Pelodiscus sinensis: one gene and its partners. The protein of the gene in region 2 interacts with the protein of the main gene of each other region in a biochemical or structural test. Links are inferred from orthologs where the notes say so. Each region holds a gene or a part of one and is shown on either strand. Other genes may lie near its edges.

Region 1 (7,594 bases), on a different chromosome or scaffold from region 2:
CAATATCCAGCGCCCCTTGGTTCAGCCCTGGTCAGGGCCCGAGCGTGCTGGACTAGAGAGGTTCAGTTTGTAGTTCATTCGTTTTCTCATTCTTCCATCATAAGAAACAAACTTCACTTAGGAGACTGGTATCCAAACAGCCTGGACACAGGACTCCACCCCACCCCACCCCACCACAAACAAAAAACCCAACCCAGACGCCAGTTTCAGGCCAAATGCACAGCTCCAGCAAGGTTGACTCATTCAGCAGACAGGCAAGCTCCACACAACAGTGTTGTCTGGCCAGAGGGTTAGGCAGTAAATCCCAACCCTGCCAGCAGTAGGGCATGTCATGGACACTGGTATTTGATTTGAACTCCTGCGAGCGTTTGTAGGAAGTAATCTGGCACTATGAGGTTGTCTGATTTGAAAGGGGAGAAAAATGCGAACGTAAGCACTGTGGCACCGCCATCTTCCAACTCGTCACAAAAGTCAGCCCAGAAAGCACCGCACACTGCCAGGCATCAGGGTCAAATCAGTGTGGAACAAGGAACTCCTCCCTCTCCCACTCCTGTACACACATGCACCCTAGAGACCCACGCGCTGCTACTAACCAGCCCGGTGGGCTTGGCTGGCAAAGACGGGCCAGCTGGAACCCTGGCATGTTCTTGACAAAACATGTTTTGTCACTGTCATTGCTCGGTGGCGCCAACCCGGGGCCAAGGACTGAGAAGTGGGACCATCAGGAAAGACCTCGCCAGCGGCTACGTTAAGTGTTTGGGGCTGGCCTGTTTGAGCGGAACCTTGACTTGTGCAGCTGCCTGAGGCGAGAGAGTGGGGTGGCCGATTCTCAGCTCACATCTCAGCATAAAAGGGGAGCATCAGGGCCTGAGAAAAAGCAGCCGAGGAGTAAAGCAGCTGGGTCTAGCTCCCATTACTAGGAGCTCAGCCGCAGGGGACTGAGGAGCATTTACGCTGAATACCAAACACTTTATTTTCAATTTCCACAGCAGAAGCCTGCACCAGTGCTCGGTGGTGGCCCATGCACTAGCCTGTCCAGAGAAACACAAGGACAGGGTGACTCGGGGTGGCAATGTAAGCAGGAAGGGAAGGCGCGCGTGCGAGGGAGGAGTGCCTATGCGCAACAGAACACCTGGGAATTTTAGACACGTGCCCCTCCGAGCAATGGGTTCGAGACGTGCCAATGGGGAGGGGAAGCCGCGCAGAACTAATGTGGAGGTTCTGATGTGGGACTTTGGAGCGGTGACTGCATTTTCATCCACGTTTGGAAAGACCCTAGATCTAAACAGTGGGAGATTCAGAGAGAAGGGGAGAGTTCCCCCATTTCATTCTGCACTTCAGAGCATTTGCTGGGTTTAGTTAGGCTCCTAAAGGTTGCCAAGCCTGCAAACTAGATACTCCCCCATCCCTAAAAAAAGATAACCTAGGGTCATATATAGCATAAGGAGTGAGCAACACGCTGATCTGACAGATCAGTACAACGCATGCAGTCTAGCTGCTGGATGGTTTTCCAACAGCCCCTCAGGAAGTCGGATTAGCAGTGCGTGTGTGGCAAGAGTCTGACACACTTAAGAGAGAGCTGCAGACAAAAGACACTTTTGGGGGAAGTTAGTTCCGCTCTAAGGCTGAGGAAGTACAGGCAAGACAATCCTAATATCTGTGGTTTGTTGTTTTTATGTAGAACTTGAAGAACCTCCCCCAGGGGTTTGGTAGCACAAAGATTGCTCCAGGACTGACGCTAACCCAGGACTGGGCTGCACAGCCAGCTGTAAACCCACAAGGGGTCACCCCCAGAGGGGCACAGCAGGCTAAATCCCGCAGTGAGAGAGGCCAAATCAAGGCAGGGGATTACAGCTGGCAGCCCAGGGCAGCAGGCAAAACCCACAGGATTACCGGGAACCTGCCTCTTTGCTCCAATCAATCGCTCCAGTGAGAAGACCTGGAACCTGCTTGCAGACATGTTGATTGAATCAGGTGAGAAGTGGCTGCCCCCCCCTTCCCCAAAATGAACCGTCTCCGCGCCTGCGGGGCAGGGTGGGAGCAGAGAGGGGAGGTGCGGAATCCCCAATTGCATTCATCTGATCAAGTACGCGGCCGTGGTGGCTTTAATTAGCAGGCGAGCCTGGGGCAGGGCTCAGCTGCCAGACACCTCCGCGGGGTGAGGTGAAGAGGTGGGTGGAAAAGGAGACGGGGCACTTCCTCTGTTCGACGGGAAACTTTGGATGTGTGTGTAGACACAACACCCCTCCCCCACAGATACACACCCCCGACACACACACACCCCACGCGCGCACACACCGATACACAGATACACACAGACCCCCCCACATCCCATACACAGACACACTCACAGACCCCCCCACCCACAGATACACACTCAGACCCCCCCCACCCACAGATACACACACAGACCCCCCCATATCCCATACACAGACACACACTCAGACCCCCCCCACATCCCATACACAGATACACACACAGACCCCCCCACATCCCATACAGATACACACACAGACCCCCCCACCCACAGACACACACACTCAGACCCCCCCACCCACAGACACACACACTCAGACCCCCCCCCACATCCCATATGCACAGACTCACACACACTCCGGCACTTTCTGCTAAGCGCTGACCCCCCCCCCCACCGGGCTTTCCAGAGGAGGGGTAAAGATCCCGCCCGCCCCCCACCTCCTGGGGTCTCGCCCAGCCGCGTCTCTAGCTCAGCCCCAGCTCGGCAGGGGGGCGGGCAGGGGCTCCAGTGGCCTCCACCCCGCCGTGCAAGGGGCACCGGGGGGCTGCCCCCCCGCGCCCAGATCCCCCCCGCAGCGAGCCGGACCCCCCCGCACCTCCGGGTCCAGATGCACCAGCTCCATGTTGGGCCATGGGTCCGCCAGCTGGGCGAGCGGCATCGCGGCGGCGGGCGGCCCCGGGAGCGGGGCGGGCTGGCGAGACGGGCTGGGGGGCCAGCTCCGAGCCCCGGCACTCGCCGCGCCGCTCGCCGCCCTCCTTGGCCGCGCCCCCGGCGCCGCCCCCGCCGCCCCATTGGCTGCGGGGCCCCGCCCGGGCCGAGCCTGGGCTCGCCGCCCGCCCCCGGGGGCGCCCCGCAGCCTCCGCCGCAGGGGCCACAAACTCCCCCCGCCCTTCCCGGCTGCCCCCCCGCACCCCACCTCTGCCCCCTGCTCCGGGGGCCCCCAAAGGCTCCTTCCCAGGGGCTGCCCGGCCCAGAGAGACCTGCCCCCACCCCAGCGCCCCAGGGGGCTGTCAGGCCTCGGCACGGGGGGATGAAGAATCAGGCACCAGGGCCCATGCTGCAGCGCCAGGAGTGGCCAAAAAGGCCCCTTCCTGAGGAAAAGATGCAGCCTCAGTAGGTCCCCTCCATAGTCCTTGCCCCAGAGAAGGCCCGGCCTGAATGGGGGGCATCTGCTTTATAAGCCATGGGAATCGGCATCTGCGGAGTTGGGGGTTGTGGACCCCCATTGCGTATCTAGGACCTTGCCCATTTGCGGTTCTCTCCTTCCTATCCGTGGTTCTCCGCAGCCACGGGCCGGCGTGGGCATCTGAGGCTCATTTTGGGGGACACAGATGCAGATACAAATTGTGTTGCTATGCAGGGCTCCGGGCACAAACCTCTGGGTCAGAAGATGACAGAGTCTAATGGAGATGGCTAAATGTGGCTACATGTTTGAGACCAGAGATCAGACGTGGTCGTTCTGTTTTTCTGAAGTACTGGGGTGTCAAGGTCTTGTGTTTCCCACCTGATTTTCTGAAGGGAGTAAGAATGAAAGGTATTTTGCCTTCTCTTACGCCTGCAGCAGGTGGCCCACCACGATACAGCAACGGGCTCCAAATGTATGTCTGGTAGAGCTGTATCTTGATGTTTAGTGACAGTTTCTTGCTATCCCACAGGCACTTCGTCAGTCAACTGAAGGTGGTAGCAACCTTCCTTGTCATCTAGAGATCAATTATCTGATACCCACCAGAAAGGAGGTCACACCAGTGGTAGCAAGGCTGGGAAATGGAAAGAGGAAATGCTCAGGGTGGACAAAGGCTAAGTGGTTTATTCAAGGCCATTTGGCCAGTGAGTGTCAGAGACAGGATCTACAGGCAGGGATTTGTGGCTCTATCTACCTAAGTCAATCCACTAGACTAGGTTGCTCTACCTACCAAAGTACAGAAAAGAGACAGAACAGTCCCTTTTTTATTTCCCCTCCATTTGCTTGGTCAGAGGCTCCACAAGGGGAAAACTGGGGGCAGTAGTTTTGTATCTGAGTTTTTTCTAAAATATATTTATTTTTAACCAGGGCTGGGCTAAGCCATTTCTGAGGTGGAGGCTGGCTGAGAACAAGTGATAAGAGGGGATGAAGTCAGAGCTGATTAATCACTGGAACAACTTATCAAGGGATTCCCCATCACTGGAAGTCTTTAAATCAAAACCAGATGTTTTAAAAGCAAAAACATCCTTGTCCATGAGATAAGAACTCGATGCAGGAATTCCCGGTTAAAGTTCTATGGTCTGTGTTACACAAGAAGTATCGTTGGACTAGATTATCCTCACAGTGTCCGTGGGCCTTAAGATCTATGAATGTACAGACTTATATGTAGGAGGAAAAGGAGAATGCAAGGCCAAGGAATAAAGTTAGCAGAAGTGGAGGCAAACAAAGGTCAGAATCAAGGAAGGGGATAGAGGGTATGAACATGATTACCCAGCAAAATCACTTCTGTGGTCTGTCAGGCATTAAGCAGAAGGAAATAGAGGTGGAGCCTCAAGATTTCTTGGCCAAAATAGGCAGAGGGAGTACAGATCGAATCAACCTGTCAAAAGATACATACAATTGAAGACACGAAACAGGCCAGTATTTCAACATATGGTAGCACTATGGCTGTGTCTAGACTGGCCACTTTTTCCAGAAAAGCAACCGCTTTTCTGGAAAAACTTGCCAGCTGTCTACACTGGACTCTTGAATTTCCGCAAAAGCACTGACGATCTTATGTAAGATTGTCAGTGCTTTTGCGGAAATACTATGCTGCTCCCGTTCAGGCAAAAGTCTTTTTCCAAAAAACTTTTGCGCAAAAGGGCCACTGTAGACAACAGAGATTTGTTTTCTGCAAAAAAGCCCCGATCGCGAAAATGGCGATGGGGGCTTTTTTGCAGAAAAGCGCGTCTAGATTGGCCATGGACGCTTTTCCGCAAAAAGCGCTTTTGCGGAAAAGCGTCCTGCCAATCTAGACGCGCTTTTCCGAAAATGCTTTTAACGGAAGACTTTTCCATTAAAAGCATTTCCAGAAAATCATGCCAATGTAGACGTAGCCTATATGTTAAGACAAAGCTCAATGGTTGTGCATAGGCATTTACATGCATTGGGTGAGTAGTAATGATGGTCGGTGACAAGATCTTCCCTAATTAATATATACGAAAATATATATAATATATATAACTGAGCACTTATAGAAGGTACGGTATTCATGGGAGTCCCTGGATTCCTTACATTTTAAAGCCGCTCATGATTATGGATGGTTTTAAGCACTGTTTGTAACCTACTTTTATGTGTAGATATTTCTACTGGTAAAAGTGATTGACTGTAAGGAAGATTTTCAAAGGCACACAAAGTGCCTGCAAGCACCTGTGCCCAGCTGGAATGAACTCTCCAGCTGTTATGTGTCTCATGAAAAATCTTTCCCCTAAACTTTGAGTTGAGTTGTATGTGTGCTGCCTTCATTGTGTCTATAACACTGGAAAATACCCTAAGAAGAAGGGGGTTGTGAAGTTAAATTAGTGCAAGGCAGAATAGGCTAGTGATTAGAACAAGAGAGGGGCAGGCTGACAATCTGGGTTCAGTTTTCTTAGTCTGCCATTGTTCAACCTTGTGCAAGTCCCATTCTTCAGTTTCTCTATAAAGTAGAGACACTGACACATATCCAGTTTTGGGGGTTTCTAGGAGCTTTAGGAATGTAAGGTATTAATTAGAAATTGCTGTTCTTATCTGCTATCCCTCTGGAGTAGAAACATGTAACACTCTGCTCTTTTTGGTCCAACTTCTGCAAAACTACTTTTTGTATTTCATGATCAAACTGCTAGTTAAGTAAACAATATTTTTAAAGATAGGTACCGCTAAGCGTCAAACATAGTAATGGGGGAGCTAAAAGTATTCTCCTATTGCTTGTTAAGATGCAGCAACGTACAAAGCAGCAAAATACAGTTTCTGGTCCCAAAGCAGAAAATCGAAGGCCAGATCCTGCATTCTCCTTGGCCTGGGCAGACTTCAGGGGAGTAGCATTCGGTTAGCAGTGATCGCTTTTGAAAAGCCCACTCTCAATCTTCAGAGCCCTTTAAATAGACACTCACTGACTTCTAGATAAAAAAACAGGACTATGTAGCACTTTAAAGACTAACAAGATGGTTTATTAGGTGATGAGCTTTCGTCGGCCAGACCCACTTCCTCAGATCAAATAGTGGAAGAAAATTGTCACAACCATATATACCAAAGGACACAATTTTAAAAAATGAACCATGAAAAGGACAAATCAAATTTCAGAACAGAAGAGGGATGGGGGGGGGGAGATAAATGTCTGTGAGCTAATGATATTAGAGGTGATAATTGGGGAAGCGATCTTTGTAATGGGTAAGGTACAGGCAGTCCCCGACTTACGCGGATCCGACTTATGTCGGATCTGCACTTACAAACGGGGCTTTCTCGCCCCGGAGCTCACAGGCAGCGATCCGCCACCTCGACCTCCGGGGCGAGAAAAGCTGCTCACGGTGCCCCTGGTCTGCTGGAGACCGTCTCCAGCAGACCAGGGGCACCGTGAGCGAAGCCGCAGCAGCCAGAGCAAAGCCTCAGAAGCGCTGGAACCCGCCGCCGCTGCAGCTTCACTCACGGTGCCCCTGGTCTGCTGGAGACGGTCCCCAGCAGACCAGGGGCACCGGAGCGAAGCCGCAGTGGCGGCTGGTTCCCGTGCCTCTGAGGCTTTGCTAGAGCAAAGCCTCAGAGGCGCGGCACCCCGCTGCCGCTGCGGCTTTGCTCCCCGTGTCCCTGGTCTGCTGGGGGGGGGGGCGCAGCTAGTGTGCCCCCCCCAGCAGACCAGGCTTTTGTTGCCGGACCCTGGGGCAGAGCAGCTGGGGTGCTGCCGGTTGGTCCCGCAGCGCCGCTCTGGGCACTACTGGACCAACCCAGCAGCACCCAAGCTGCTCTGCCCCAGGCTTCCTGATTCAGCCGCTGCTGGTCAGTTTCAGCAGCGGCTGAATCAGGACGCCTGGGGCAGAGCAGCTGGGGTGCTGCTGGGTTGGTCCAGTAGCGCCGAGGAGCGGCGCTACTGGAGCAACCCAGCAGCACCCCAGCTGCTCTGCCCCAGGCGTCCGCAAGTCAGCTGCTGCTGAAACTGACCAGCGCTGACTACAGGAAGCCCGAGGCAGAGTTGCTCTGCCCCAGGCTTCCTGGAATCAGCGCCGATCAGTTTCAGCAGCAGCTGACTTGGGGACACTTGGGGTTCTTAAGTTGAATCTGTATGTAAGTCAGAACTGGCGGTCAGTTTCAGCAGCGGCTGAATCTGGACGCCAGTTCCGACTTACATACAGATTCAACTTAAGAAC
Region 2 (8,005 bases):
ACGTCGGGACGCATTAGGAAAGGAATAGATAAGAGGACAAAATCCCATATTGTGTCTATATAAAGCCCGGTATGCCCACATCTTGAACACTGCATGCAGATCTGGTCACCCCAGCTACAAAAAGATCTATTGGACATGGAAAAGGTAGAGAAAGGGCAACAGAAATGATCAGGGGTAAGGAACAGCTTCCATCGGAGGAGAAATCAACAAGACGGGGGCTCTTCAGCTTGGAAAAGAAATGACTAAAGGGTGGGCAGGGCCGGCCCACAACATTTTGGCACCCGAGGCGGGGAGCTCAAATGACGCCCCCAAGCCCCCTCGCTTGGGCCAAAACTTTGAAAGGTCTACAAAGCCCTTGTGGAACCTCTTTGCCAGATGATGGGAAAGTCCAAACTGTAACAGGGTTGCAATAAGAACACACTAAGATCGAGGAGGGCGGGTCCATCAATGGTGATTAGCAGGTCTCCACAAGCCGCTGTTTCTACTTGCCCAGGTGAGTAGGTTGCAGCCGGTCGCTCCGTGCGCCCCATTCACCGGCGCTTCGTGCATGCACGGTGCAGGCCTGGTGAGGAGCTCTCGCCAGTTTGTCGAGCCCTGGTTATTAGCCAGGATGGGCAGAGATGGTGTCCCTGGACTCTGTTTGTCAGAAGCTGGGAAGGGGCAACAGGGGATGGATCATGATGAAGCCTAATCTGTTTATTCCTCCTGAAGCACCTGGTGCTGGCCACTGTCGGCAGACAGGATACAGGGCTAGAAGGACCTTTGGTCTGACCCAGTCTGGCCAGTCTGATGTTCTTACATTTCAGCCCCTAAATATCTGCCTCCTGCTGTAACCCACTAGACCCCACTCCCCTTCCCAAGCTGAGAGAGCCCAGGAGTCCTGACGGGGTCGGTCTTTCTCCCCAAAGTTAGTAAAGTAAGAACAGACATTCACATTTCCAGCCAACCAGTGTCCCTTAAGCAACTTTCCACAAGTTATCAGAATACGTTAGTGGTAGAGCTGAGTGGGGCTAATATTTATTTTCTTTCTTTTATATAGGAATTGGATACAGTGCTCCTGCTACCTGCTAAGTTGTCTGCCAGAAAAAGCAGTTTCCTCGTGCCCTAGCAGCCCTGAGATAGAGATTACGTGGGGTTGGGGGGAGGGCAGAAGTAATTGGTTCCCCCCCCATTTGGTGCTTAGCTTGTACTGCTGAAGCTGCTGTCCTCAGTCTGCCTGCCTCTCCTGCTCTCACTCTCTCTGCCCCACCCATCCTGGCACATACAGGTTGCCCCCCGCCCCCCATATTCTGAAATGGTGCACCTGCAAGACTCATTCAGTGCAATGAATCATGGGGTTTTACGTATGGACATTTGGATGGGTGACGGCATTTTGACACAGAATTCTGTTCCAGGCTGCAATGCCAACAAAAGAATGTGAAAACATCCTTCGACCTCAGCAACAGAAGCATCCCAGTGGGGAAACACACAACCACAGCAAAATTAACAATGAAAAGACAGCGAATGTGACTTGACCTGAACTACGTGGGATGTAGGGGGAGAACATTGCTCAGCTCCTTTACATTCCAGGGAATAGCTTAGTACAGAATAATTCTTCCCCCTCCCCCACTCCCACCCCCGCCAATTTAACCTTTCTGTTCAATCCAACCCAACCCTGCTTAGACACGTTCCATGCACTCGCTTTCTCCAGGGTGGGCAAAATCCAGCCCCAAACATTTGGTTGCAGCCAGCTGCGACCCAGCGGGACCCTGGGGCAGGCTCCCTGGCTGCCTACCCCACCTCCAGCTCAAAACCTCCCATTCTTGAAGCCAGTGACTCCGCATGGCAAGGGCAGTGCTTGTGGGGACGTGCAGCACGTGGAGACCCTGCACCCCCTCCAAGGGGCCACCATGCAGACACACACACACACACTGGCCACAGCAGCCAGCCACGGTGTGTGTGGGGGGGGGGGGGGCATAGCAGGCAAGGAGCCTGCCTGACAGTCCCACAGGCCACCAGCTGAAAGCCACCAACGTAAGCACCTACCAGCCAGAGCCTGCACCTGGTACCCCCTCATGGACCCCAACACCCTGCCCCAAGTCACAACCCCCACTGCAGCCCGGCCCCAGGCCTGAACCCAGCCCCCTCCCGCGCCCAAGGGCGCCCTTGATGAAAAGCGCAGCCCCCGGCCACTCACCAAATTCTTGGCCCGCCCCTCCCCCCGAGGTACTGCCCACTCAGGGCACTTTCCGGTTCACACTCACCTTGCAGGAATGCTCACACCCGCCCCGCCCCGCGCCAGCCCAGTCGAGGGAACCGCGTCTCCAGCCGGCCACGCCTGGCGCACCTGCCCACCGCCGGCACCCGGCTGCGGGGCGCTGCTCGCGCGTGGGAAGCCCCGCGGAGCAGGGCCCGGGCTGTGCACTTGGGCCGGGAGCTGCCGCCGCCCGCCCGGCTGATGCGCCCGAGCTACCGCCGGGGCCCCGGCGCCACGGGGCAGAACCTGCCGCCGCGCCCCGCCCTGGGAAGGCGCCGAAGTTGGGCAGGCACCAGCCAGCTCCCCGGGCGGCTCGGGGCCGCGGGCAGAGCCCGGAGCCAGGCTGAGCGCGGCGCCGCGCGCCCCTCACCTTTGATGCTGATCCCGAGCCCCCCCACGTCCTGCTTGACGATCCGCACCGTGCGCCGCACGTTGGCGAGCGCCTCGGGCACCTGGGCGCACGGCTCCCCGCCGTTCAGCTGCGCCGGGCCGGGCGGCGGCGGCTCCTCGGCCCCCGCGCCCTTGGCGGGGCTCAGGCTCAGGAAGTCCTCGGCCAGCGTGAGCAGCACCCGCAGCCAGTGCTCGCCCGGGGCTCGCAGCTCCAGCAGCCCGCTCTTCGGGGCTCGCCTGCCGGCCGCCATCTTCAGCGCATTCCTGGGACAGCTGCGCCGCCTCCCAGGCCCGAGGGGGGCACCGGGCACCCAGCCACCCCGGGCGCCGCCCCCGGCGGTGCCGGGCACATGGGCCGCCCGCCAGACGCCCCCGCCCAGGGAGCCGCCCCCGGACACGCCTCTCCCCTCCCCGCGCCGCGGCAGCACCGCCCGGACCCTCCCTCGGAGCCGCGCCGCTTCTCGGGCAGGGGGCCGGTGTCAGCAGCCAAGACCCGAGCCCCCACCCCCTCCCGTGGCCGGCAGCTCCCTCCCGAGCCGAGCATCAGGTGGCCGCTAGGGCTAGACGCAGGCAGAACCCGGGCGAGCTTGTCCAGATGTCCACAGACAAAGGCTCAGGGCAGGGGGGCAGGGCACTGGGACTTGGGGTTCTTGGGTCCGCGGCCCCGTCCGCTTTTAGCTGCCTGGCCAACCCTGGAAATGCTAAAGGAAACTTAAAACCAGCACATAGTCTGGTAGCACTTTAAAGACTCAGGAAACTGTCAGCCCCCGTGGCCTTCAGTGGCGGTAGAAGCTGTTGTAATAATGGGCCCTGCACATTTACCCCAGTGTAAGCTCCGCTGTGAAACGTGAGTGAAAGTTGCTAAATTATCACAGTCACCTGCTGCAATAAATGTCACAGGGAGGAAGGCAAAAGGCAGAGCACAAGCCAAAAGGCCAACTAATATAGCTCAAGACTGAACCCAGGCCTGAGAGCTAATACCAGTACGCAAGGTGCGGAAATTGGTGTCGGACATTAACCCTCTTGGTGAACAAAGTGCTAAAAGGATGGGCTGTGCCACCCAGTGCTCCTTTGGGGGCTTTTTTTTTTTTTTTTAAAGGAGACTGTAGGAACCAACAGCTGGAGGCTCTCACAGTCCTGGACCCATTGGGAGAGGAGAGAAATGAAAAAAGTGAGCTGCTCCCTTGTGGCTGCCACCCCACTTGGTCACCTGAGAGTTGGAAGGTCTTTGTGGTAGGCGGAAGGGTGTCCTGAGCAGACAGAGAAGGACCCAGATGACCTCATCACTTCCAGCTGAACCCCAACAAGGCCTGGCGTGAGGGGCTTTGTGTCTCTTCCCCTACTATTGTCCTTTCCCTTCTTATTTCTTCTCTTTCCTGACCCTGCCCTTTTTTCCTTCTGTCTAAGGATTGTCCCGCTTTCCCGGCCAAGACTACATATTTTGCTTTAAGCCTGTGACCAAAAAAAGGCAGCTAAAAGCTATGATCTAAACAGTCTGATGCTGGGGCAAGTTTGCCAGGCCTCGGAGTGACTAAGAGGATCCCATGCTGGGCAGTGAGGCTGCGAGTGAAAGTTACCAGCAGGGGCAGAAGCTGTGTTCTCCCTTCCCCTGTGTGTGTGTTTTCATGTTAGGAAATGCGATGGGACTATTACAGCAGCAACCCATCTCACCTCAGTTCTTCTCCGTCCCCCAAACATTTGTTGACATTTGTTGCCAGCTCTGACACATCTAAAACTGGACCAGGAGGATTTTCCTCCTAGAAACTCTCCCCAGCTAAAAAAAATCAAATAAAATCCTTTTGTTATATTTCACATACTCTACCTGGGCTGCTTTGTAGTCTCACCCCGCCCGGGCTCCAAGGCCCCACCCTGCTCACTCTGTGGAGCTGGGGTACAGGGTTGGGGACACCCTGACAGCACCCCCTCTTCTGCCTCTCCTACCCTGCACAGCCAGCAGGACACTCCCAGGGAACAGCTCCAAGGCAGAGGGCAGAAGCAGTGGCTGAGCGGAGAGGGGCAGCTGAAGAGCTAGTGCTTGAGAGCCTCCCGGCCAAACCGGTCAGGATGACCTGCCAGAGGCTCCGGGATCTACCAATAGATCCCAGTCTACTGGCTGGTGGCCGCTGGCGTACCCCAACCCACAACCCTTATTTGAAACCATTTAATGTTGGTCAAGTGCCTGGTTGATGCATTCAGGCTGTGTCTACACTGGCGCGATCTCACGCAAAAGCGGACGCTCTTGCGCAAAAACTTGCTGCCTGTCTACACTGGCCGCGTGTTCTTGCGCAAGTAAACTGACGTTCTACTGTATGAAATCAGGGCTTCTTGCACCAGAACTCTGATGCTCCCGCTCATGAAGAAGCCCTCTTGCGCAAGAGCTCTTCCAGAAGAGGCCAGTGTAGACAGGCAACATGAATTTCTTGCGCAAGAAAGCCCCATGGTTAAAATGGCCATCGGAGTTTTCTTGAACAAGAGAGCGTCCATACGGCCATGGATGCTCTTGCGCAAAAGCACATGCCAGTGCAGACGCTCTCTTCTGGAAGGGTTCTTGCACAAGAAGCTGCCAGTGTAGACACAGCCTAACACCTTTGGGCCCTATATTCCATGCAAATGAATACACAGTGCCCTAAGCTCTTTGGAGGACCCGGACCTTCTCCTGGTGCTGTTGTTTCTCCAGCTATACAATTAGGCTAATAGTCACTTGCCTCACAGGAACGTTCGGGTCAATTCACTCACGTGTTTTCAGTTCTTTGAGACAGGAATCCCTAGGGACCGGCCTTGTATTAGAAAAAATGCTGTGTGCATCCCAGGTATTCGTCTGGCAATTTCCCCAGGCCAGGCCCCGAGGAGTCTGCACAGAGGGCCTGCCCCTGAAGCCTGGAAAGAGGACAGAACAGATGTGGAGAAGCAGCTGTCCACAAAGCCCCTCCCCAGCAGAGCTTTCCCTCTCCTGGAGGCAAACAATTCATGGCTGTACAGGAGACTCCACAGGACTCCTGAACTAGGCCTGAGAGCAAAGCAGAATGCCAGCAGGATCATACAGCCACAAACGATCCCTGCTCTCCGCCTTCAGCAGATCCATGTAACCGGAAAGCAAAGCAGAATACACCTGGAAAGGGGGGGCCCACGGCCAGGTTTGACTGTATCCAGCTTTTGCTTCTTTCATAAAACTGCAAGAACTGGAGACATCTCTGGGCAAGAATCCCACCGAGGCTGTATAAGAACAGGGAGCATTTAAAGCCGACCGCCTTTGCAAAGGCTGCGCTGAAGGTGTGGAGGGAGCCGATTCTGGGCGTGCCAAAGCGATCGCAGCAGGCGGTCCTGCCAAGCAGCCCTCCCGTGGTGGCTTTGACTGCCCTAGTGCCGCTCACCAGCGGTTCTCTGAACATCCAGCCCACACCAGGCTGGAATTGACTTGCCCCCGCGAGCAAAGCGCACTTTTAACAGAGCGAGCAGTGCGACCTCTGGACAGACGGCAACTGATTTCCCTTCCCATGCTGCCCGGCATGAAAGCACTCCCAGTCAGCATCGGGGTGCAGGGATGAATAAATACTGGGGAAGAGAGGGGGTCACCTGGTAAGGGAATCTCATACCTTGGGCCGCCATCTCCAATCGTTCAGGGCCCTGTTCAGGCACCGAAGTGAGTCGGGTTTTTTTAAGGGTGCCGCGTGGGTGCTGAGTTCTTTTGAAAATCTGGCAGCTATGTAGGTGCCCAAATAGCAATACCCCCTGGCCCCGCCCCCTGGGCCAGGCAGGGATGCCCCCAAACAGGCCTTTACCTGAGTGCACTGTTGCATGTAGGTCTAGATCAGCAGCTCTCACTGCGGGTCAGGACCCTGCTTCAATGGGCTTTCCAAGCCTGGTGTTCAGACTTGCTGGGGCCCAGGACAGAAGCTGAAACCTGAGCCCCACTGCCTGAGGCCAAAGCCCTGGCTGGTGGGGCGCAGGCTTCAGCCTCAGCCTTGGGCAGCAGGGCCCAGGTTACAAGCCCCTCGCCCAGGCCTCAAGCCCTTGGGCTCCAGGTTTGGGCCCCCTGCCGTGGCAGTGGGGCTCTGGCTTTGGCCCTCCCCACGCAGGGCTCAGACAAGCTCAGACTTTGGTCCTGGGACCAATGCGGGAAGGACTGAAACCCATCGGCCTGGGTTATGCAGGGGTAGCCTAGCTAGCCCCAGTGGCCCCGTACAGCCTTAGCATGGATGACTCTAGAAATGCTATTGCGGTGAATGGGGAGGCAGCATTTTCCGGACATTCCAGCCATTCCGTTAGCTAAAGTCTTTACTGAGTAGTGGTAACTCTTTAGACCTAACCCTAACCCTTGCCTAGAAGGATTAAACCATAGACAGTGAGTCCCAGAGCCCTCGGGAATGCTTAGGGAAGCCGTGCGTTGGCAAGAGACCAGCAGCAGTGTTTCCTGTAAGCTGTGTGCTTGTGCGGCCTCTCAGGAGAGAGTCAAATGCCACCCAGCTGATTGGCACAGTGCCCACAGTAGGTTTGTGTTTCTACTAGTGGTGCACATTCACACAGGCCTTGGTGGACTTGAAAAAAATTATTCCACACAAGGGTGGGAAAGAGAGGGAACATTGACCAGGAGAACCAATGAAAAGAGTATGAACTTTTGAATTGGACGCAGCAGCCCTTCTTGTTCCTGTGTGACCACAGCAGAGGCCTTGGAAGGAGCCAGGCCTGGAGAATCCAGCGACACCTATGCCCACGGAAGCATTCAGTCTTGAAACTACAGATATGTGAGTAGAACAGGGAATGTTTAGTCAGACCCAGTCAGGCGATTTTCAGGTTTGTTGGATTTCTCTGTGCTGAGCACATTTAACTAGCCCCTTACACTGTAACTTTCCAAGCTGAATCCCAGGGAAGCACTTCAGTGTTTTTAATCCTTTTTCAGTGGCTGGGCTGCCAGGTGTTACTGAGCAATGTCTTACCAAAAGTGTTGGGTTTTTTTAAATAAAAATCACCCTTTCAAGAACTTGATCTGATTCCTGTGTCCTAGAAGGCAGGAGGTTCCGTGTGGACGTGCCTAAGACTGCACAGCCTAACTATTAAGAGAAACTAAGTTCCATTTTCAGCTGATCTCAGCGGCTCGGTTTCAAGCTCTCTCCAGAAAGAGGGTAAAAGAGCTTAAGGGTACCTGACAGGAAGGAATTCTCAGGCGTGCCTTCCTGGGTCCTCAAAGGGTGTTTGCGTTTGAGTGGTGGCACTGATGCCAGTTCAAAGCAGAGGAATCTGTAGCGTTGGGAAGTTTAAAGCAAGCCTTTAGTGGCAAGGTATTTTAAAGTCTCTTGTGGGCCCCCACCTGCTTTTGCACTCAAAGTGCAAAGCGGGAAACAGCCTTGACATGTTGTATCAGAACAGAAGACAAGTTTAGAA
Region 3 (7,568 bases), on a different chromosome or scaffold from region 2:
AGAAACAGCTGATGTATAAACACAACCCCCTCCCCAAACAGCTGTCAGTGCCCCTCCCTTCTGCCCTGCAGCCCCCCTGCTATTCCAGACATAGGTTCCCCATACAGCTTTGCCAAAGCCCTTCAGTCGTTTCTAGCTGTCCCCCCCGCTACCCCTATCCTGAGGTCTGAAGTGTGGAGTGCAATCCTTGCCATGATTTACCTGTCACTCATGCCTATCATAACCTGTCATGCTCATTTCTGTGATATTCGCTCATGCCACCTTTTCCATTGCCAATTTACTCTTCCTCAGATGCATTATCTGCCGCTCCCCCTTTCCATTAGCCCCTCTGTGCAGCTTATATGCTTTTCACAGCCCGACACCAACAGGAATTTAGCCTGAGAAACAGAGACGTAACTAGGCATTTTAAAATCTGGGGTAAGCAAGTACATTTGTATCCCCTCCCTTTTCCCCCCCATAATTGTTTTAGGGTGACCGTATTTCTCTAACGTAAAAATGGGATGTTGGGTGAGCAGCAATGCCAGGTAGCATGGTCTTACCCATATGGAGTCATCATTTGCTGTTTGCCCTGGTTTTGCACCCTGGGCCACTGCCCTGCTCAGTCTGCCCTGGTTATGGCCTTGTTGGTCAGCGCCTTCCATTCACAGGGACTGCGCTTATTGCTTTAAATTGAAAGAGGGAAATAAAGAGGCAGAGACAAATGGAAAAGGATATAAAAAGTAGCAGAAATAGAGAAAAAAACCTCTCACACATATACCAGAGAGAAGGGTCCTTTTCTTTTACATAAATAACACTAATGTATTCCACAACCTAATTACATTAAAAGCTAAGCATTAGGTACTTGCTGCCCACTCTATTAACCTCATTTAGCATGGACACCCTGACAATTATTTTCCTATTTTTTTCCACCTCTTTCCCTCCCCACTGCCTCTCTTTCTCTGCTATTTATTTGTCCCCTTAACCTCTTAACTCCAGTCATCTGAAGGAGTGGGTTGTGTTCACGAAAGCTCATGACACCATCTACATGTTTTGTTAGTCTCTAAGGTGCTGCAGAACTATTTGTTGTTTTCTAAGTTTTTTCAGTTACAGACTCACCCAGCTACCCCTCTAAGATTCATATTCTCCAATAATCACCCCCAAACATTACAGTATTGCTGTTGGAGAAGGAATGGGGTGGACCAATACTGGAGTGCCGTAGTACTTTTTATAAGTGATAGATAGACAGATTAGATGGATTGCAGGATGCAAATAAATGGGGAGGGAGGGAGACATGCCGGGGAGAGAGAGGGCTTGAAGAGGGACAGACAAAGAGGGGAGATATCAGCCTGTAACACACAGTTGCTGCTTCCAGGCCTCCCCTTCTCTTTTTGCTACTAGGCCTGGTTGCCCTGACAACGTCAATCAGGAAAAATTAGGCTTGTGCCCTAGATGCTAAGAAGGAGCCTTTTCCAATTAGGGCAATCAAAGAAGAAGAGGCCTGGAGAATTGAGAGGGAAAAAGAACCTCAGATGACCTTCTGGTCAATGTCACGTTTCACTCGTAGCAGAGAGTGGCATTCGGAAAGCGGTCAGTATCGTCACTCTGAGGGCGGCCTCACTTTGACTGTGGTTTCCTGGCAAGCCCTGTGCAAGGCTCTGCAGACCTCATGCTTGTTTACATGTTGCTGGGTGCTTCTTTCCGTCATTATAGAAATGTGCAGTGTCGGTGCAGTGGTAATGCTCTTTGGGTTTAGGTATTCTGCTAACTCACTTTGTCTGAAAACAGGGAGAGCTCTCTCTCCCTCTGGTTTGTTCTGCTGGCATCCTTTTTGCTCTCATTCTTCCACATCCATTTTTTTCTCTACATGTCCTTCTTTCTATTATCACTTCTCTCCTCTCCACTTCCACCCCCTCCTCTGTTCCTCCTTTTCCTTCTCCACCTCCTTCTGATTCAACTATTCTTATTTTTCCCCTTTTCTTTCTTCCCCTCCTTTATTCTTTCTCCTTTTATCTCCCTATTATTCTCTCTTCTGCTTGTCTGCTCTTCCACACTCTGTCTCTAATCACCATGCTGTCTAAGTACTAGGATCTTTTCCCTCTCCTCTCCTCTGTCTGTCCATTATCCTTTCTCTTCCTTGCCATGTTTCCCTGTTCTCCCTCAACAATGGAAGTTACTATATTTTCCAGGGAAAGCACAAGTCCCTACACACAAACTCTCTCGGTCAGGCCCAGCCTTAGGGCAAGGTGAGCAAGCAGGGGCAGATGACAGTTTCGCGGGGCCCTGGGCATCATAATTCCGCGGGGCCCCCCCTTTGCTACGGCGCATGCGCGGGGCTTTCTGAAGCACGGGGCCTGGGGCGACTGCCCCGTTCGCCCTGCCCTATATCCGCCCCTGTGAGCAAGACAGTTGCCTTGGTCCCCACACCTTCAGGGCCCTCCGCCCGGCCACCTGGCAGCTTGCTCACTGCCCTGGCTGGGAGCTGCCCGGCCACACAGTGCAGCCAACCACAACATGCTGCCTTGGGCCCCGCAAACTCTTTGGCCTGGCCTACTCTGAGTACATCTACACAGCAGCGTTATTTTGGAATAACTGATGTTTATTCCAAATAAACAGCGTGTCTACACTGCCAGCCTTTATTTCAAAATAATCTCGAGCTAGAGGACTTCTTACTCCGACTACAGTAACCCTCATTTTACAAGGAGTAAGGGAAGTCAAAGGAAGATTGTTCTTCCTTCAGGTTCCTGCTGTGTAGACAGTGCCTAATGCTGAAATAAGCTATTTTGACTTACGAGTGTGTGAAGACACATGACATGCTCCTGACCCCAGGGTGGGACACAGCAGGACGCCCTCCCTTCACAAGCCCCCTCTATACAGAGACAGGGGACATCTCCTCCCCAACACACACCCACACTATATACAGCACAGGGGCATGGATGTAGTCCCGGGGCAGCTCACACTCCTGGGGATAGCAGGACATCCCGAACATGGCCTCTGTGCAAGCACATCGGCTCTGATGGTGCGGAGACCTGTCGTCCTCACCTTGCAGAGAGGGGCTGGGCTTCACCCTGTGTCTCCAGGGAGAACTGACCACTTCTCTTGTTTCTCCACAACCACACCAGCTGTGAGTGCAGGGCGCACCACCCCGCCTGGGACATCCTCCCGTACAGTGGAGCACCTGGGGGCACTGAGAGCCCTGCACCGCACCCTTGACCACTGGGTGCAGGAAGACCTGCAGCTCTGGCAGGAGCAGCTTGCCCAGGGCCATGCCATCTATGAGCACCTGCAGACCCTGGTGCAGAGCTTGCTGCTTCCTGCTGCTCCAACCTCTGCTGCCTCCCCAGCTCCTCCTCCCACTCCTTCTCCTCCTCCCACTTCTTCCTCCACACCCTTCCCACCCCCCCAGGGACGCCGAGGCCCCTGCACCTGCGGTGCTGGGAGACAGTTGGACTGGCGAGACCTCCAACCCTGAGCCCTGAGTTTCTCCTCCCCCTGCTTCCCCCTGCCAGCTCCCTCCTCCCAGGTTTCCCCCTCCCCTCTCCCACTCTTCCTCCTCCCCTCTCCCACCTTCTTTCCCCAGTTTCACCTCAGTTTCATTCCCCCTCACCCCAGTTTTGTTCAATAAAGAGGCTTTGTTGTAATGAACACGTGTCTTTTATTGTACAGCAGGAAGGGGGGTTAGGGAGGGGTAAGTGGAAGGATGTGAGGGAGGAATGAGGCACAAGCCCCCAGTGGGGCACACCAGGGAGACTGTTACTGCCTGCAGAATGTGCTTCCAGGCTCACAGCAACATGTCCAGGAGAAGCACCAGAGTGCCCAGGGGCGGCTCTGGCTCCATATTGCAGAGTGCTGTGGTGTACTGAGTGCGGGCAATCAGAGCTTACAGAGAAAGAAAATGCTTTGCTGTCCCTCAGGGAGCTAGGCAAGCAAGCAGGGAAACCTGAGAACTGGCTGTCCAGGGGGGTCCCTTCAAGCACAGGTCTCAGATAGTCTCAGGCAGCAGCCACGCAAGGTAACTCCTGAGCTGATGCCCTGCCAGAACAGGTTCCGGATGGCCTTAAATGCAATTCAGCATCCTATCAGTGTGGATGCACTATTTTGAAATGCATTTAGTGTCTAGACATATAATTTCAAAATAAGATATTTCGAAATAATGCTGTAGTGTAGACATACCCTCTCTCTCTCTCTCTCTAGCTAGCTGCCATCTCTGAACACAGTGCAACATTAGTGTATAGGGAGCTTTTTACACAAAGCATCATAATTTTATTGCTATAGATTTTCATGGCACCAATAGCATGCTAAATCCTCACCCCTCCTTTCTAAAATGCTATTTGGAGTTAAATAATAGAAGCCATCAAAATTGGAGCCGAACATTTTCTGCCCTCCTGAGGAATGTTTTGGGGGTTTGTATCTGTGAAACGTAAGAAGGGCTGTGCTCAGACTCATACACACATATGCCTTTTAAGAGGAGAAAGGAAACTGTCTTATCTAAATTTCCAGTGAAGTCACAAAACTGTGCAGGGTCACAAGACTGTTTTTTATTTTTTTTGTGCTTATTATGGACTTGGGCGGGGTCTTGACTGGCTCACTCGCACCTCCCACAGAAGCCATAAATAGATTGCTCTAAAGCAGCTTCTAAGCAGAGAGATATTGCAAATTGCACAGAGCAAAAAAAATTACAGCGACCTTTTCAGATATTCTGTTGTGGGAAACAATTACACAGCATCTAAGGGATCTTCAGCGACTTCGTTAAGAAGGGGGCAGTGGTGTTGCAGTGTCTTCGAGGCATTTGCCAAGGACCATGGAGAGCAAAAAGGTAACAGCAGATCTTTTCCTCCTACCATTTATATTTTAACCTATTTGAATGCCGTTGCATGTGTTCATCCATCATTTATAAACTCTGGGTTAATGCTACCCAATTTGTCTGGTTTGTGAAACCTTTGGCCTCTTGTTGAAAATGTTTTGAACCATAAGGCAACCCTTTGCAGAATGTGGCTTTCTAGATAACATCATGGTGTTTGATTATTATTACTCTGGGTTTTACTACTTTCTGTTGTTGTGTTGAGAAGATGAAAGCTCTAAAATCAAGCACTAAACTTGCATGTGCGATTATTATTTAAGGATGGGACTGAGAATGCACATTAGGGGGAGGTGAAGACATTTATGTAGGATTGTTGCAAGTCATGGCATTCGGTTGTTCATATTTTTAGGGTTGTAGTTTTTAAAAGTATTACTTTCCTTGTCGTCGTTTTATTTGGCATGAGATCTGTTGTGCTGGCCGAAGAGGAGCCATTTGTCTTCAGGTTGACCAGGAGGACAATGTGTTCATGATAAGAATTTGACAATTCCTCTAGGTTTTTGAAATGAATAGCCTTTGGATTTCAACCAAGAGAACATGGCAGGCTTAGTCCCGCTCACAACACTGAGCCAGCAGGCTAGAGAGCCTTTGTGGACAGTATTATTGATGTGTGTCTATGTGTGCTGTGCGTATTAATGAGTGAACTAATTAATTGCATGTGTTTAAAAGCATCAAGGAAAAAATCAGGCAATGGTGGCTGGGGAAGAGAAAGTGAGGAAGGTTGAGTGTCATTAAATAACTGATTGATATCCTCATTGAAGAATATCTAGGGGTTACTACTATTTTAGGGATATTCATATAGCCATCAGCTTATAAAGCCAACCCTTTCTTTCCCTTTTTCCTGGGAGAAGAGGACAGTGTGAGGGCATGAGGGAGGGAGCTCTGAACAAGCATCCCAGTCAAGGTCGTTAAAGGAGAGTAAAGAAGTGGCCCCAGTTGAGGTCACTGAGTGATACATCAATGGGTTTCCAGCCAGTAAAAAAAGAGAACACTGAGGGGAAATGTCAGATACCCTTGTCGCCAGTTGTGAGAGGGAGGGGTATGGGTGGGATTTTGAATTCCCCGCCAGTGTCTAATCCTCAACCCTGCCACCATGGTTTGTGTAGATCCCGGCCTGGTATTTCTGAGCTCTTTGGCTGGAGAGAATACACAACAGATCATAGTCCAACTCGCTATAGGATTGGATGGGGTGAGACCATGTAATGTATGCTGGAGGGTGAGACTGGCTGTGCAACACTAAGTAATAGATGAGAAAAGGCAGGAGGCAGGGAACATGGTATAGAACACAGGAGAGCTATACTATATATAGTATGTGTGTATGTACTATGTGAGCAAAGTATGCCTATGCTGTGTAGGGCCCTGACGGGTCCGGTGGAGTTGGAGACCAGGCCTGGATATTGAGTAAGACATGACAATGCAAGATACTCTTTTGGTTAAAGCACTGAACTGAAAAAATGGTTTTGTTCCCACACACACTGTAACAGTTCTCTGTACCTCGGTTCCTCATCTGTAACATGGAGGGAATAATAATTCTTACCTCATAAAGGTGTTGTGAGGATAAATCCATTCAAATAGGCAAGGCCGTCTTGGAGGAGCGGGGGGCACGGGGCCTGGGCAACCCCTTCCCCAGTGCCCCAGGCATAGGGCCAAGAGTAGCCTTTCACCCATAGGACTGTCCCTGTCCCCATTCCACCCTTTCCCCCAAGCTTTGCTCCTGCTCTGCCCCTTCCTGCCCCGACCCACCTCCTTGCCCAAAGCCCCCTCCCCGAGTGATGCGCAGGGCAGCAGCAGGAGTCAGCCCTCCTCCACCTCTATACACCACTATGGTGGGAGCCACAGTGGCCTGGCAGCGTGAGCCACTCAACCCCACGGCCTTCTCCCAGCCCACTGAGCTCTTGAATTCACTGTGGCCATGGTGAAATGGAGCTCAGCAGGCTGGGAAAGGGTGACAGGTTGGAGCCGAGCAAGCTGCCTGGTTGCTCTAGCTCCTGCCACTGCAGTGAGTGGGAGTAGGAGGGCTCCCCATGCCAGACCCCTCCCCTAATGTAATCCCTTGGGTCCCACCCATAGGATGGTTGAGGTGGCTGCCGTGGGACCCCACAAAGTGCAGGGCCTATGGACTCTGCATAGATGTGAGGCAGTGACGTGCTAACCAGTGCCCCTTGAAAACCTCTGCATCCAACAACCTTCTAAGTGGCACTAAGCTAGCCCAGGCCTTTTCAGAACCCATTGGCCCCCAGGGAATGAGAGTGCTAAATGTGAGTCTTCTCTATCTCTGCATGGAAGGGACCAGTTCTGACTTGGTAGCACTCCCAGTCTGTGTTGGCCCCAGGAGAGGGAATCAGAAATTGGGAGTGGTGGTACTACACTAGTCTCCATGGGGTTCCCAGTCCTCATTGGTCTTAGACAGTGACAACTTGGACTTGGAATGCACATTGTTCACACCTTTGGTAGTGATCCCAGCGAATGAGAAACCAGGGTAGGGTATTAAGGATGGAACTACATAAGTGTTGCCAGCTTAAAGCATTGAAAAATTATGAGTCAGCACCCCAAAACTGGCATTTTAAACAATGAAAAATGTTGGACATTTTATATTTGGTATCTGGTTTCTGAACCCTTAGAGTTCCCATGGGTCCCAGCTTTGGTCAGCATCCACAGACTGGGAGAGGGCGGCAAGTTGGAGCGGAGCAGGAAATGTACTTTTTACTTTAAAGAAAATTGAGATCCTGATATA

What was found.
Region 1: the proteins of SNTA1 (region 2) and RPS6KA1 interact in a test that uses a peptide from one of them, tested with the Homo sapiens proteins (2 studies listed by BioGRID and IntAct, with this or other methods). The link is inferred for Pelodiscus sinensis from reciprocal best matches to the Homo sapiens genes SNTA1 and RPS6KA1.
Region 3: the proteins of SNTA1 (region 2) and solute carrier family 2, facilitated glucose transporter member 3 interact in a test that uses a peptide from one of them, tested with the Homo sapiens proteins (2 studies listed by BioGRID and IntAct). The link is inferred for Pelodiscus sinensis from reciprocal best matches to the Homo sapiens genes SNTA1 and SLC2A3.

What each region holds. Positions count from the first base shown.
Region 1 is NC_134735.1:2,049,241-2,056,834, reverse strand, and holds the start of RPS6KA1 (ribosomal protein S6 kinase alpha-1), read right to left. Parts: upstream 3,011-7,594; 5' UTR 2,916-3,010; coding exon 2,853-2,915; intron 1-2,852. UniProt on the Homo sapiens protein: Serine/threonine-protein kinase that acts downstream of ERK (MAPK1/ERK2 and MAPK3/ERK1) signaling and mediates mitogenic and stress-induced activation of the transcription factors CREB1, ETV1/ER81 and NR4A1/NUR77, regulates translation through RPS6 and EIF4B phosphorylation, and mediates cellular proliferation, survival, and differentiation by modulating mTOR signaling and repressing pro-apoptotic function of BAD and DAPK1.
Region 2 is NC_134728.1:33,977,902-33,985,906, forward strand, and holds the start of SNTA1 (alpha-1-syntrophin), read right to left. Parts: upstream 3,006-8,005; 5' UTR 2,878-3,005; coding exon 2,607-2,877; intron 2,382-2,606; exon of another isoform or gene 2,244-2,381; intron 1-2,243. UniProt on the Homo sapiens protein: Adapter protein that binds to and probably organizes the subcellular localization of a variety of membrane proteins. May link various receptors to the actin cytoskeleton and the extracellular matrix via the dystrophin glycoprotein complex.
Region 3 is NC_134711.1:132,856,083-132,863,650, forward strand, and holds the start of solute carrier family 2, facilitated glucose transporter member 3, read left to right. Parts: upstream 1-4,558; 5' UTR 4,559-4,777; coding exon 4,778-4,792; intron 4,793-7,568. UniProt on the Homo sapiens protein: Facilitative glucose transporter. Can also mediate the uptake of various other monosaccharides across the cell membrane. Mediates the uptake of glucose, 2-deoxyglucose, galactose, mannose, xylose and fucose, and probably also dehydroascorbate.